Linked DNA regions of Pelodiscus sinensis. The protein of the gene in region 2 purifies or fractionates together with the protein of the main gene of each other region. This does not show direct contact. Links are inferred from orthologs where the notes say so. Each region holds a gene or a part of one and is shown on either strand. Other genes may lie near its edges.

Region 1 (3,746 bases), on a different chromosome or scaffold from region 2:
GAGAGGAAAGGAAAAGGGAGGGGGCTAGGAGACAGAGCATCAGTAAGTATCTGGAGAATGGGTACTTAAACCAAAGCAAATAAAAATCCAAGTCAATAGATAGATTCCCTTGTTAGAAAGGATACTACACAGAGAGCTGTTAGCTCCTTCAATGGTTGTTAAATTGGTAGGCTGTGTCTATACTAGAGCAATCTTGCTCTACACTGATCCTGTCTATACTGGCCGTGAATTCTTGCGCAAGTACACTGACGTTCTAATGTATGAAATCAGTGCTTCTTGCACGAGAACTCTGATGCTCCCGCTCAGGAATAAGCCCTCTTGCGCAACTCTTCTTGTGTAAGAGGCCAGTGCAGACCGGCAACATGAATTTCTTGCACAAGAAAGCCCTATGGTTAAAATGGCCATCAGAACTTTCTTGCGCAAGAGAACGTCTACAGTGGCATGGAAGCTCTAGTGCAAAAGCACATCTCTTGTGCAAATGCATATGCCAGTGTAGACACTCTCTTCTGGAAGAGTTCTTGCACAAGACCATGCCAGTGTAGACGTCAACGTAGTGTCCGGGGACTTTTATCTGCTTTTAAGTACCCATTCTCCAGATACTTACTGATGCTCTGTCTTCCAGCCCCCTCCCTTTTTCTCTCCCCCACCCCGCATTTATTTCCAGTGTACTCATCCCAAACTCATAACTCCGGTCATCTGAAGGAGTGGGCTGTGCCCAAGAGAGCTCATGATACCATCTACAGGTTTTGTTAGTCTGTAACTGCTACCAGACCATTTGTTGGTTTTTTCTATATACATATATCATCATGAGCTGTCATGAGCACAACCTCTCCTCAGTTTGTCACCGCCAAGGTCTCATCAGTGGCAAGCAAGATATTGTAACAAAGAGCTTCAATGTGTTAAGCAGAAATACTGCCCTGGGCGTGACTCAGCCCTGTACCATTTTTCCCCTGGGGGCAGCACAGCAGAGGCAGAGCAAGGGGGCAGCACTAGATCAGTATCCTCCCCTGTCCGTCAAAGCGCGGCAGCCAATGGCCGTGACGGAGCGGTGGGTGTGACGCTGACGCAGTGACGTACACTGCGCTCGGCGGCCGGAGGGCGGCTGCTCGGACGTACGCGCGCACGCCGTCAGTTTCCCCAAGATGGCGGCGGCCACCAGCGGCGAGATTTGTTGTGGCGAGGCGCCCGCGGGCGGAAAGCGGGGCCACCTGGGCATCCCCGAGGCGGTGTTCGTGGTGAGAGCCGCAGCCGGCGCCCCGCCGCGGGGGGAGGGGCGGCAGGCCGAGCCCGGGCGGCGGCGCCGGGTGGGAGCTGGGCCGGTTCCCGGCGCGGGGGTCCCAGAGAGCGGCGTGGAAAGGGGGCACCTGGCCCATCTCGGCCACGCCCCAGGGCCCGGCGGGGAAGGGCTCGCAGCCACCTGCGGCTTCTGATCCTCCTGCCCGCGCCGGGGCTGCCCCTTGACCCATCGCCCCCCCGGGTGAGCCGCGGCGCGGGCCCCGTTTCCAGGGGCAGGGAGGCCGGCCCGGCTGCTTAGTCTCTCAGGCCGAGGGGGGTTCGGGAAGGTCGCTCCTGCGGTAACCGGCCGGCCCTGGTGAGGCCGCGGGTCCTGCTCTCTCCCTCTGTGCCGAGGTCGAATTGCTGTGACTCCTGACCGCAGTCGTTGGGAGCGCCCGTGGGGGTGAGAGATGCAGTTCTGGGTTCAGCGCTGTGTCTGCCTGCTTCCAGGCTTGGATCCTGAGGAAGTGTTTGGTGGACATGAGTGTGTGTCCAGGGAGCGGGTTGGTATCTGAGGTTTCCTTTTGTGTAGTGTTTTAGGATCTTGTGTGATGATCCCTGGTTCGGTGTTTGTCTTCTACATTCAAAGCAGCAGTATTCAATATGAAGTGCTTTGTTTTTTCTTAAAGTGTTTTGATATCTCCAGAGTTTTTGAGGAAAACGAATGTCCCGTAGAGAGAAATTCTTTTGACTGTAAGGTGGGGAGCCAACTCTTTTCCTTTCAGAAAATTAAACAGCATCTCACATCTTTGAAATGGTGTGCTTTTTTTTTGTTCTATTGAATTTCCTTCAAAAGTTGGAGGAAAAATAAATCTGCACTATGATCAACTTACTTTGATTATAAAGTTTAGACTGAAAATTGATGACCAATGGCCATATGGTGTTTAAGTTAGATAGGCAATTGCCTTTGCAAGTTCTTTAGATTGTTGTTTAAAAAAAAGGAAAAGTGAATTTGAAAAACCTTAATAGAAAGACTGAATATTGTATAATATGAGGCTATAGGAAAAATTAATAAATTCATAATAATTTTAGGAACAAAGAATTTGCTTTAATGGCTCAGAGTAGCAGACTGTGACTCAGTGTCCAGTTTTCAAGAGTGGCTAATACTAAATGTTTCACAAAAAATTGCTAGAATCCTTGTATGATGGTTAGTGTTGTCTCCTGATGTGCTGACCATGATGCCTGCCTTCCTGCTCTCTGGGGTTCCCCACTACCCAATAATGCTGGGCCAGATTCTCTAGTCTCCTCTAGACAAGGTACAGAGTTGGGGTTACCGCCCCCTTTCGGAGCAGCACAGACAGTGAAGCAGTTCAGCTCTGGTAGGACTTGGCTCTGAGGACTCAGTATCCAGGAGAACAATCATTAAAGGGGACCAAAACCCCACATGAATCTGTTGTACTCTGTAGAAGTTTTACATAGTGAAGGCTCATAAAGGTCACCCACTATATCAATGAAAGAAGGAGATGCACAGTGGTTGCCCTCCATAGCAGTTATTTGCACTGGGATTGATAATAAATAAAAGTGTTTTTTATTAAGTACAAAAAGTAGGATTTAACTGGTTACAAATGAGAACAGTCTGATAAAAGTAAGTTACTAAATTACAATGAACAAAAAAGCTGTTTAAGGTAATGCAAATTCTTACCTTAACAGCTGTTCTCAGGTTAAAGCTTTGTCGGAGTTGATTTTTACTCTAGTTTGGGCCTACAGCTTTTCAGAGTTCCTTAAGTATCCTTTTAGGGTGGGCCAGACAATTTCAAAAGCGGGTTGAAGACAAAGTCTGATTGCTTAAATAGACTTTTCCCCAGGGTGACAATTCTTTCTTCAGTGCGTCCCACCACATGAAAAATTACCAGGTTCAAGATGGATCCCAGAACCTGGTCGCATGGTCATATGTTTTTCTAGGACCAGCTACAGTTTGGACTTAAAAGCCAAACATGACCATTCATGCTTTGAGTGCTGAGTCATTAAGTTTCTAGGTATTGTTACCACATTTAGAATGAACACATTTACTATTCATATTTCTAACTTCACATTCTTCTAATCATTTCCCTTATTCCTTGTATTTCTATTACGTATTATTTTACATGTGTGCAAAACTGATCACCATGGCCAGGATTTTCAAAGGTGACTTTGTCGGGGTGGGCAAAATATGGCCCACCAAACATTTCCCTCCAGCCCACTATGATCCTCTGGGATTCTAAAAATCCCAGGGCACAACACTCAGGTTGCCTGCCTGCCATAGCCCTGACCATGTTGCCCCGGGAAGTGGCCTGCTGCTGCTAGCATTTGCCACACCACTCTTTGGGTGGTGTGAGGCCACAATGGCATGCAAGTAGCCTGCCCGCTGCCCACCTAAGAGCTCTACTGTGCTGCCAGCTGGGAGCCACCTATGGCAAGGGCCTCCTGCCTAGGGTCACAGCATGCACCTCACACCCCATTCAGCACCCCAGCCCTCTGTTGCATCTCTGAAC
Region 2 (3,205 bases):
AAAAGGGATGCAGTCTAGACACAGCCTAGGGGATTTCTACTGGATGCAGCCAGGTGAACTCTTTTATACAGTCATGCCCAAACTTGTTGCTGGGCAAGATACAGCAGCTACCGTGCTGGACTGAGAGCCGAGCATATTACAGTTACTTTTTCGTTTCCCGCCTAAACATGCTTATCCTGCCACCACTCGGTATTCCCCTTTGACTGCCTGCTTCCACACGTGCAACCGCGCTGTTCGTAAGCGTGGGTACGTTCGTAACTCGGGGACTGCCTTTACAACCGCTCCATGGGGGCTTTGTCGGTTGTAACTCGGGGAGCGGCTGTATTCAGTGCTCCGGGTCACTTTGGATTCTGACCCGCCCTCCGAAGCCCTTGCCACGCTCCCGGCGTGGGCTGAGACGCGTCCACACTGCGCCAGTCGCTAACAGGCTGGTGACGACGCTGAGCAGCCCCGGTCGCAGCACAGAGCCAGGGCCCCTTGTGCGCCCCCCGCGGGGCCGGGAACGGCTCCTCACGCGCCCCCGGCCCCACGTCCCTGGGCCCTGAGGGGCAGGGCCGGGGGGAGGTTTCACTGACGCGAGACGTCACCAGGGACCTCCCCATGGGGGCGCCTACCCCCCCCCCCCCGTGTGGGGAGCTATGGCGCCATGCTGCCCCTCCTCCGCCCTGACACCCCTCCCCCAATTTCAATTCCTGGGGAGGCCACTGGACGTCACCACGCTCGGGGTCACTGCCCCCCCCCAGGCCCGCCATCTTTGAGCGGGGCGGAAGTGGCTTCAGAAGCCGGTGGCGCCATCTTGGCACCGGGCGGAAGTAGGGGCATCGCCCCACCATATTGGAAAACGGCGGAAGTGGCCCCAAAGTCCCGCCTCTGTCGCGGCCCTTACGGCACGGGGCGGAAGTGCGGGCGGGACTACAAATCCCATGGGGCCCCGCGGCCCGGCGGCACTTCCGGGGCGGGGCGGGGCGGGGCGCGCGATGGCGGAGCTGGTGCAGAAGCGGCTGCAGGGCGAGCTGGAGAAATATCAGCAGCTGCAGAAAGGTGCCGGCCCCGCCCCCCCCGGACCCCCCCCCGCGCCCGCCCCCCCGCCGCGTAACCCCCCCCTCGGGCCCGCCCCCCCCGGGCCCCCCCCTCGCGCCCGCCCCCCCGCCGCGTAACCCCCCCGAGACCCCCCCCCCGCCGCGTAACCCCCCCCTCGGGCCCGCGCCCGCCCCCCCGCGCCTGCCCCCCCGCCGCGTAACCCCCCCCCTCGGGCCCCCCCCCGGACCGCCCCCGCCGCGTAACCCCCCCCGCGCCCCCCCCCCCGAGACCCCCCCTCGGGCCCCCCCGCCGCGTAACCCCCCCTCGGGCCCGCCCCCCCGGGACCCCCCCCGCGCCCGCCCCCCGGGACCCCCCCCCGCGCCCGCCCCCCCGTCGCGTAACCCCCCCCCTCGGGCCCGCCCCCCCCCCGGGACCCCTCCGCCGCGTAACCCCCCCCTCGGGCCCGCCCCTCCCCCTCCCGCGCCATCCCCCGCGACCTGCCCGCGGCTCCCCAGGGTCCGTCCCTGCCTCGGCCCCGCCCCCTGCCCCGGTGAGGGGGGGGGAGGAGCGGGGGGGCTCACTCCCAGCAGCTCACTCCCCCCCCCCCCCCCCCAGATCTCAGCAAGTGCCTGTCGGCCCGGCAGAAACTGGAGGCGCAACTGACAGAAAACAACATCGTCAAGGAGGTGAGACCCCCCCCGGCACCCCCCCGCCCCCCCTTCTCCCCCTGCCCCCCCGGCACCCCCCTGCCCCCCCTACCCCCCCGGTACCCCCAACCCCCCTTCTCCCCCTGCCCCCCCGGTACCCCCCTTCGCCCCCTGCCCCCCCCGCTAACCCGATACCCCCGCCTCCCCATTCCCCTGCTAACCCTTCACCCCGATACTCCCCTTCCTCTCCCTGCTCCCCCTCCCCTCCCTTGCCCCCACCTTCCCCTCCTGCCCCCAGTAACAACTGCTCGCCCCCAGTTTTTCACAGACTCCCAGCTCACTCTCCCCTTCCCCCTGTGGCAAGCCACCTCACCAAGGGTGTCTCCCGTCCCTCCATCTGCTCCCTGCCCCCCCCCCCCCCAGGAGCTGGGGCTGCTGGATGCCACCAACACGGTCTACAAGCTGATTGGCCCCGTCTTGGTGAAGCAGGACATGGAGGAGGCGAAAGCCACTGTCAGCAAGAGGCTGGACTACATTTCTGGGGAGATGTGAGTGGGGGTGTCCCGGGAGGGGTCCCAGCCCCCCCCCCGGGGGGAGGGGGAGTGGCACAGGCACAGAGGCCTTCCCTGCTAGGGGCCATTGGCCAAGCTCCACCCCAGGATGGCTCCTGCCCTGGGGCAAGCTCTGGGCCACACTGGCAGGCTGGGGGGGGGGGGGGCACTTTGGGCCCGGCTCACTCCCCCCTTCCCTCCCTCCCCCGCAGCAAGCGCTACGAGCTGCAGCTCCAGGAGAGCGAGAAGAAGGCGGAGGAGCAGCGGGAGGTGCTGGCCCGGCTGCAGCAGGAGTATCAGCGCGCCCAGGGCAAGGCGGTGCCCAAGGCCTGAGATGGCACTGGGGGGGGGGGGGGGGGGTATTTAAGGTTTTTCACTGTTGAGAATAAAAGAGGTGATGCACAAACTGATCCCACGTGGCCCCCACCTGGGTGTGCTCTGCCCTGCTATGGGTGTGGCCCCTCTGGGCCTGGGGGTTCCCTGGCAGGGCTGACCCCCTGGGCCCCCGAAGCACGGCTCACCACCAGCTGCTTAGTGTCTTTATTGCATTAGTGTTTCAGCAAAGGGCTAGGGCCCTGAGACACTCCCCCCGCCCGGGGTCTGGTGCTGGGACCCCTTGGGGACAAGTCCCTGAGACGCTGCCCTCTCCACAGGGGCACCCACAGCCCCCTGGGCCCAGCGGCGGTTAACCCCTTGGCCTCCCCCCGCGTCCTGCTGGGGGCTCACTGCCTGTGCAGCCAGCCCCCAGCTCTCCCTGCTGGGCGGCCGTAGGCAGAGGGGCTGTCAGGCACTCAGGTCATGGCCCGAGGCTGCGGCCAGTGGGCAGGGCCCTGCAGACCATCCCACAGCCCTTTCCTGGAGCGGGGCCGCCCTCAGAAGAGGGCCCGGGCCAGCTTGCGACCCGTCGCCTTGATCTTCGGGAAGGTGGCGCTGAGTTCGGGCCGGCGGGGGGCAGCGCTGGGCGGCGGGGGAGGCTCCCCGGGCCCC
Region 3 (3,746 bases), on a different chromosome or scaffold from region 2:
ACTAGCTCTCCACCCTTGTTCTGACTGTTTTGTGTCTGTTAGCAGCATTTAAAAAAATATATGCTTTTTGAAGTCAAGGTTACAGACACTTGAGGGAGACCTCACAGATATATCCACAGGATCTCTTGCAAATATCTGTGAAAGTGGGTAGCCCACCAAAGCTACTTTCCATCAACTGAATTATGGAAACCTTGGCTAGTTGTTAACTTGTTAAATGTATCATCAGCCATACACCTTGTTTTACCATGGCTCCAGGTGCTTGAATTTGGGGCCCAACTTTGCACTAACAGCAAACTGGTTGTCAGGAGTTCACTCCCCCGCAGCTGTGGTTATAAAACGTTATGATGACCTGATTTTTTCATAGCTGTGATATAAGCTAAATGAATAAACAAGCATGTGGAGGCAATTATGCAATGCAAATGCCAATTGCCCTTATTTCTATTTAGGAAAAACCATCCCCCTGTCTTAAACAAAGTATGTATTATTTAATCACAAGGTCCCTCTGGAAAGGAATTTGGAGTGGAAATTTTTTTTCTCTCCACCTCCAGTCATTTCCCTAGCATAACAGATGTCCCCAGGACAAGTCTGGTCATGTGGTTAAGGACTAAAGAAAGCTGGGACCAATTCCTGGCTTGAGCAAAGTTCCCATGTGACTTTAGCCAAGTTGCTTCATCCCTCTGTGCCTCAATGCCCCATCTGCAGTGGGGATAACACTTCACCTACGTCTAGACTGGCATGATTTTCCGCAAATGCTTTTAACGGAAAAGTTTTCTGTTAAAATCATTTGCGGAAAAGAGCATCTAGATTGGCACGGACGCTTTTCCACAAAAGCACTTTTTGCGGAAAAGTATCCATGTCAATCTACACGCGCTTTTGTGCAAAAAAAGCCCCAATCGCCATTTTCGCGATCGGGGCTTTTTTGCGCAAAACAAATCTGAGCTGTCTACACTGACTTTTGCCTGAACGGGAGCAGCATAGTATTTCCGCAAGAAGCACTGATTTCTTACATGAGATCGTCAGTGTTCTTGCGGAAATTCAAGTGGCCAGTGTAAACAGCTGACAAGTTTTTCCGCAAAAGCAGCTGCTTTTGCAGAAAAACTTGCCAGTCTAGACACAGCCTTCCTGAGCTCAGAGGAGCATGTGCCCCTCATATCCCTGTGGTGCTGAGCAATGGCAATAAGAAGAGGCCATTGGTGCCGGCTGCGTTTGCTCATTAATATTTATCTCCATGACTGATCCATATTAATGGCGTGTTCACTGGGATATGGGGGGGGGGCACTGGTTCCCCCAAGCCAAGGGAGTGCACTGGTGACTGCTCCCCCAAGTGGGGTAGGCGCTGTGGGGTTCCCTCAGGTACACTGTTGCCAGCTCCCCCTTCAGTCCCAGGGGAGGAGCGGGTTACTACTGTACAGCTCTCCCGCGCGGCCTTGGGCTCCCTCTTTCCATGTGCTAGCTCGTGGCGCCACCTAGCGGCAACTATCACGCTCGGCTTGCAGAGCCCCCTAATCGGTCGGAGGAAAAATATCCCACGGGCAGTGCCTTTAAGCAGGGAGTACCAACTGCGAGCGTAGGGGTGTGTTTGTCCTGTTTCCTATGTTATCTGACCCAAGGTCTTCTCATCCCGTCGGGAATGGGGCGAGCGCGCTACTCGGAGAGGGAAGCGCCGCCGCGGATGACCCGGAACCGAGCTGGGCCGGAGCGGGGGGCCGGACATTGGCACCCCTCCTCTGCAGATGGGAGAGTAATTCCGTCCAACATGGCTGCCACCATGAAGAAAGCGGTGAGTGGGGTGGCCGCGCCCTGGGTCCTCCCGGCTTGTGCCCGTTCCTAGGACCCGCTCTGCATTCCCCCCCCCCCCCCTAGGCTTTGGTTTCTCCTCCTCCACGCACGGGTACATGGAGCGGGGCGCTAATATTTTTTTTGGGGGGGGGGGGGGGGAGACTTGCTCTGTCCAGGCTGCGCCTTCCCCGCCGCGGGGAGCGCTGGGTTTCTAGCGCGGGGTGGAGTCAATGCCCCCCAAGGCATGGGGGGCACTGACCCCCCAGCTCTGGGCGCTCCCAGAGGTGCTTCGCTGGTGCCCTTTGGCGCTGCTTGTCTCGAGCCTACCCCCCCCCCCCCCCCCCCAGGAGAGGCAGCAGTGCGCATCTCCCCCCCCCCCCCCCCAGTCCCTGTGAACGGGCTTTCAGTTAATGCTGGCGCCGCAGTGCGGGTGCAGGGGTGTCACATTCCCGGCCCGCGGGCCATCGCGCAGGCTGACTCCCGAGTCCCAGCAGGCCCAGTCTGTCCTGTTCCCTGAGCCCCGACCCCCCTGCGCCCTGTCCCCGAGGACGCTGCTTTTGGGGATGGCTGTAGGAGTCGGGGGAAGCAGCCCGCGGTGGAGTGTGCTGTGACTCCTGCCCCAGGGCAGGCAGCGGGGATTGACGCTACTGCTGCCCTATACTAGCCCCCCTCCCCAACCTTGGTGATTCCCCAGAGCTATGTGAAATCACTTTTTTGCCAATAGAAGTTGTATGTAGAGTAGCAGCATCGATTAGCATAACTGTACTGGCAATCTTCTATCTATCCGTAGGTAAGAAACTATGAGAAATACAAAGTTTCCCACTTTTTACCTAATAGTTTAAAAAAAAAAATTCCCCCACTGTAACCCCTATTTCTGTCCAGGCTGCTGAAGATGTCAATGTTACTTTTGAAGATCAACAGAAAATTAACAAATTTGCAAGAAATACCAGCAGGATTACAGAGCTGAAAGAAGAAATAGAAGTTAAAAAGGTACCTTTGCTACCCACTCACATGGTATTAGGGCACTGAGCTCATCTTTTATGTAGCTCAGAATTGGGGTTCACATCCATAGTATGGGCTGGAGGATACTATAACTAGAAGAACTTTGGGTCTTCTTTTAGGTGTAGGAAGTAATCCTGCAAGAGGCACAAATGACCAATATTTATCTTGAGTATATTTCTTCTGCTTTTGCATACAATGCTTAGAATCCCTTAATCATTGTGTATGGGCAAAGTGTGTGCAGTATTAATCCAGGATTAGACCTTTTGCTAAACTTTCTGGGACAGACTCCCCACTTCGTTACTCTACAATTATGCTCATGCAACTCTGTTGAAATCCTAATCTTCAATTGATGAATTCATTTGAAATGACCCTGGTTATATTTACATAGCTCTGACTGTGGCCAGGTTTACATAGCTCTGACTGTGGCCAATGCCCAATGTTTCAGAGGGAATAAACAGACCAGGGCAATTGTGTGGTCTATCCCCAGTCAAAGTCCCAAGTTCTCAAAGTCAGACATTTTGGGACATCTAGAGCATGGGGTTATGTCCCTAATCAACTTGGCTAATAGCCATTGATCAACCTGTCCTATAGGGATGTTAAATGGTGTTTAATCAAGTAGTTGATGGAATTTCCATTGATTTAGTTAAGGGGAAAACGACAGAGCTGTAGCGGGGTTAGCTCTTCATTTAAAAGGCTGAAGCTCAGAGGTGGTGGGGGACCAAGCACGAGCCAGGAATCAGTTGTCCCAGCTCATGCCTGGTCCCCTCACCTGCTGGCTCTTAATACATTTAAAAAGCAGGATTGGGAATCAGCTGGCTTGTGCTTGCTTCCCCTGTGCCCCATGGAGATAGTGCTGGCAGGGAACTGGCTTTTAAGTCAGCTCCTGCTCCCCCCACCTTGCTGCCTCTCTGATGAGACAGCGGGGGGAGGAGGGGAAGCGACTAATTTAGTCACTGATGATCATG

What was found.
Region 1: the proteins of PFDN6 (region 2) and VBP1 purify together in Homo sapiens (affinity purification with mass spectrometry; 6 studies listed by BioGRID and IntAct, counting the BioPlex papers as one, with this or other methods). This does not show direct contact. The link is inferred for Pelodiscus sinensis from reciprocal best matches to the Homo sapiens genes PFDN6 and VBP1.
Region 3: the proteins of PFDN6 (region 2) and PFDN4 purify together in Homo sapiens (affinity purification with mass spectrometry; 6 studies listed by BioGRID and IntAct, counting the BioPlex papers as one, with this or other methods). This does not show direct contact. The link is inferred for Pelodiscus sinensis from reciprocal best matches to the Homo sapiens genes PFDN6 and PFDN4.

The regions. Positions count from the first base shown.
Region 1 is NC_134723.1:29,342,056-29,345,801, reverse strand, and holds the start of VBP1 (prefoldin subunit 3), read left to right. Parts: upstream 1-1,078; 5' UTR 1,079-1,142; coding exon 1,143-1,235; intron 1,236-3,746. UniProt on the Homo sapiens protein: Binds specifically to cytosolic chaperonin (c-CPN) and transfers target proteins to it. Binds to nascent polypeptide chain and promotes folding in an environment in which there are many competing pathways for nonnative proteins.
Region 2 is NW_027465970.1:69,634-72,838, reverse strand, and holds PFDN6 (prefoldin subunit 6), read left to right. Parts: upstream 1-902; 5' UTR 903-923; coding exon 924-1,041; intron 1,042-1,635; coding exon 1,636-1,706; intron 1,707-2,090; coding exon 2,091-2,215; intron 2,216-2,430; coding exon 2,431-2,551; 3' UTR 2,552-2,628; downstream 2,629-3,205. Other genes in the region: RGL2 (ral guanine nucleotide dissociation stimulator-like 2), read right to left, coding at 3,091-3,205. UniProt on the Homo sapiens protein: Binds specifically to cytosolic chaperonin (c-CPN) and transfers target proteins to it. Binds to nascent polypeptide chain and promotes folding in an environment in which there are many competing pathways for nonnative proteins.
Region 3 is NC_134728.1:16,428,410-16,432,155, reverse strand, and holds the start of PFDN4 (prefoldin subunit 4), read left to right. Parts: upstream 1-1,536; 5' UTR 1,537-1,630; coding exon 1,631-1,780; intron 1,781-2,661; coding exon 2,662-2,769; intron 2,770-3,746. UniProt on the Homo sapiens protein: Binds specifically to cytosolic chaperonin (c-CPN) and transfers target proteins to it. Binds to nascent polypeptide chain and promotes folding in an environment in which there are many competing pathways for nonnative proteins.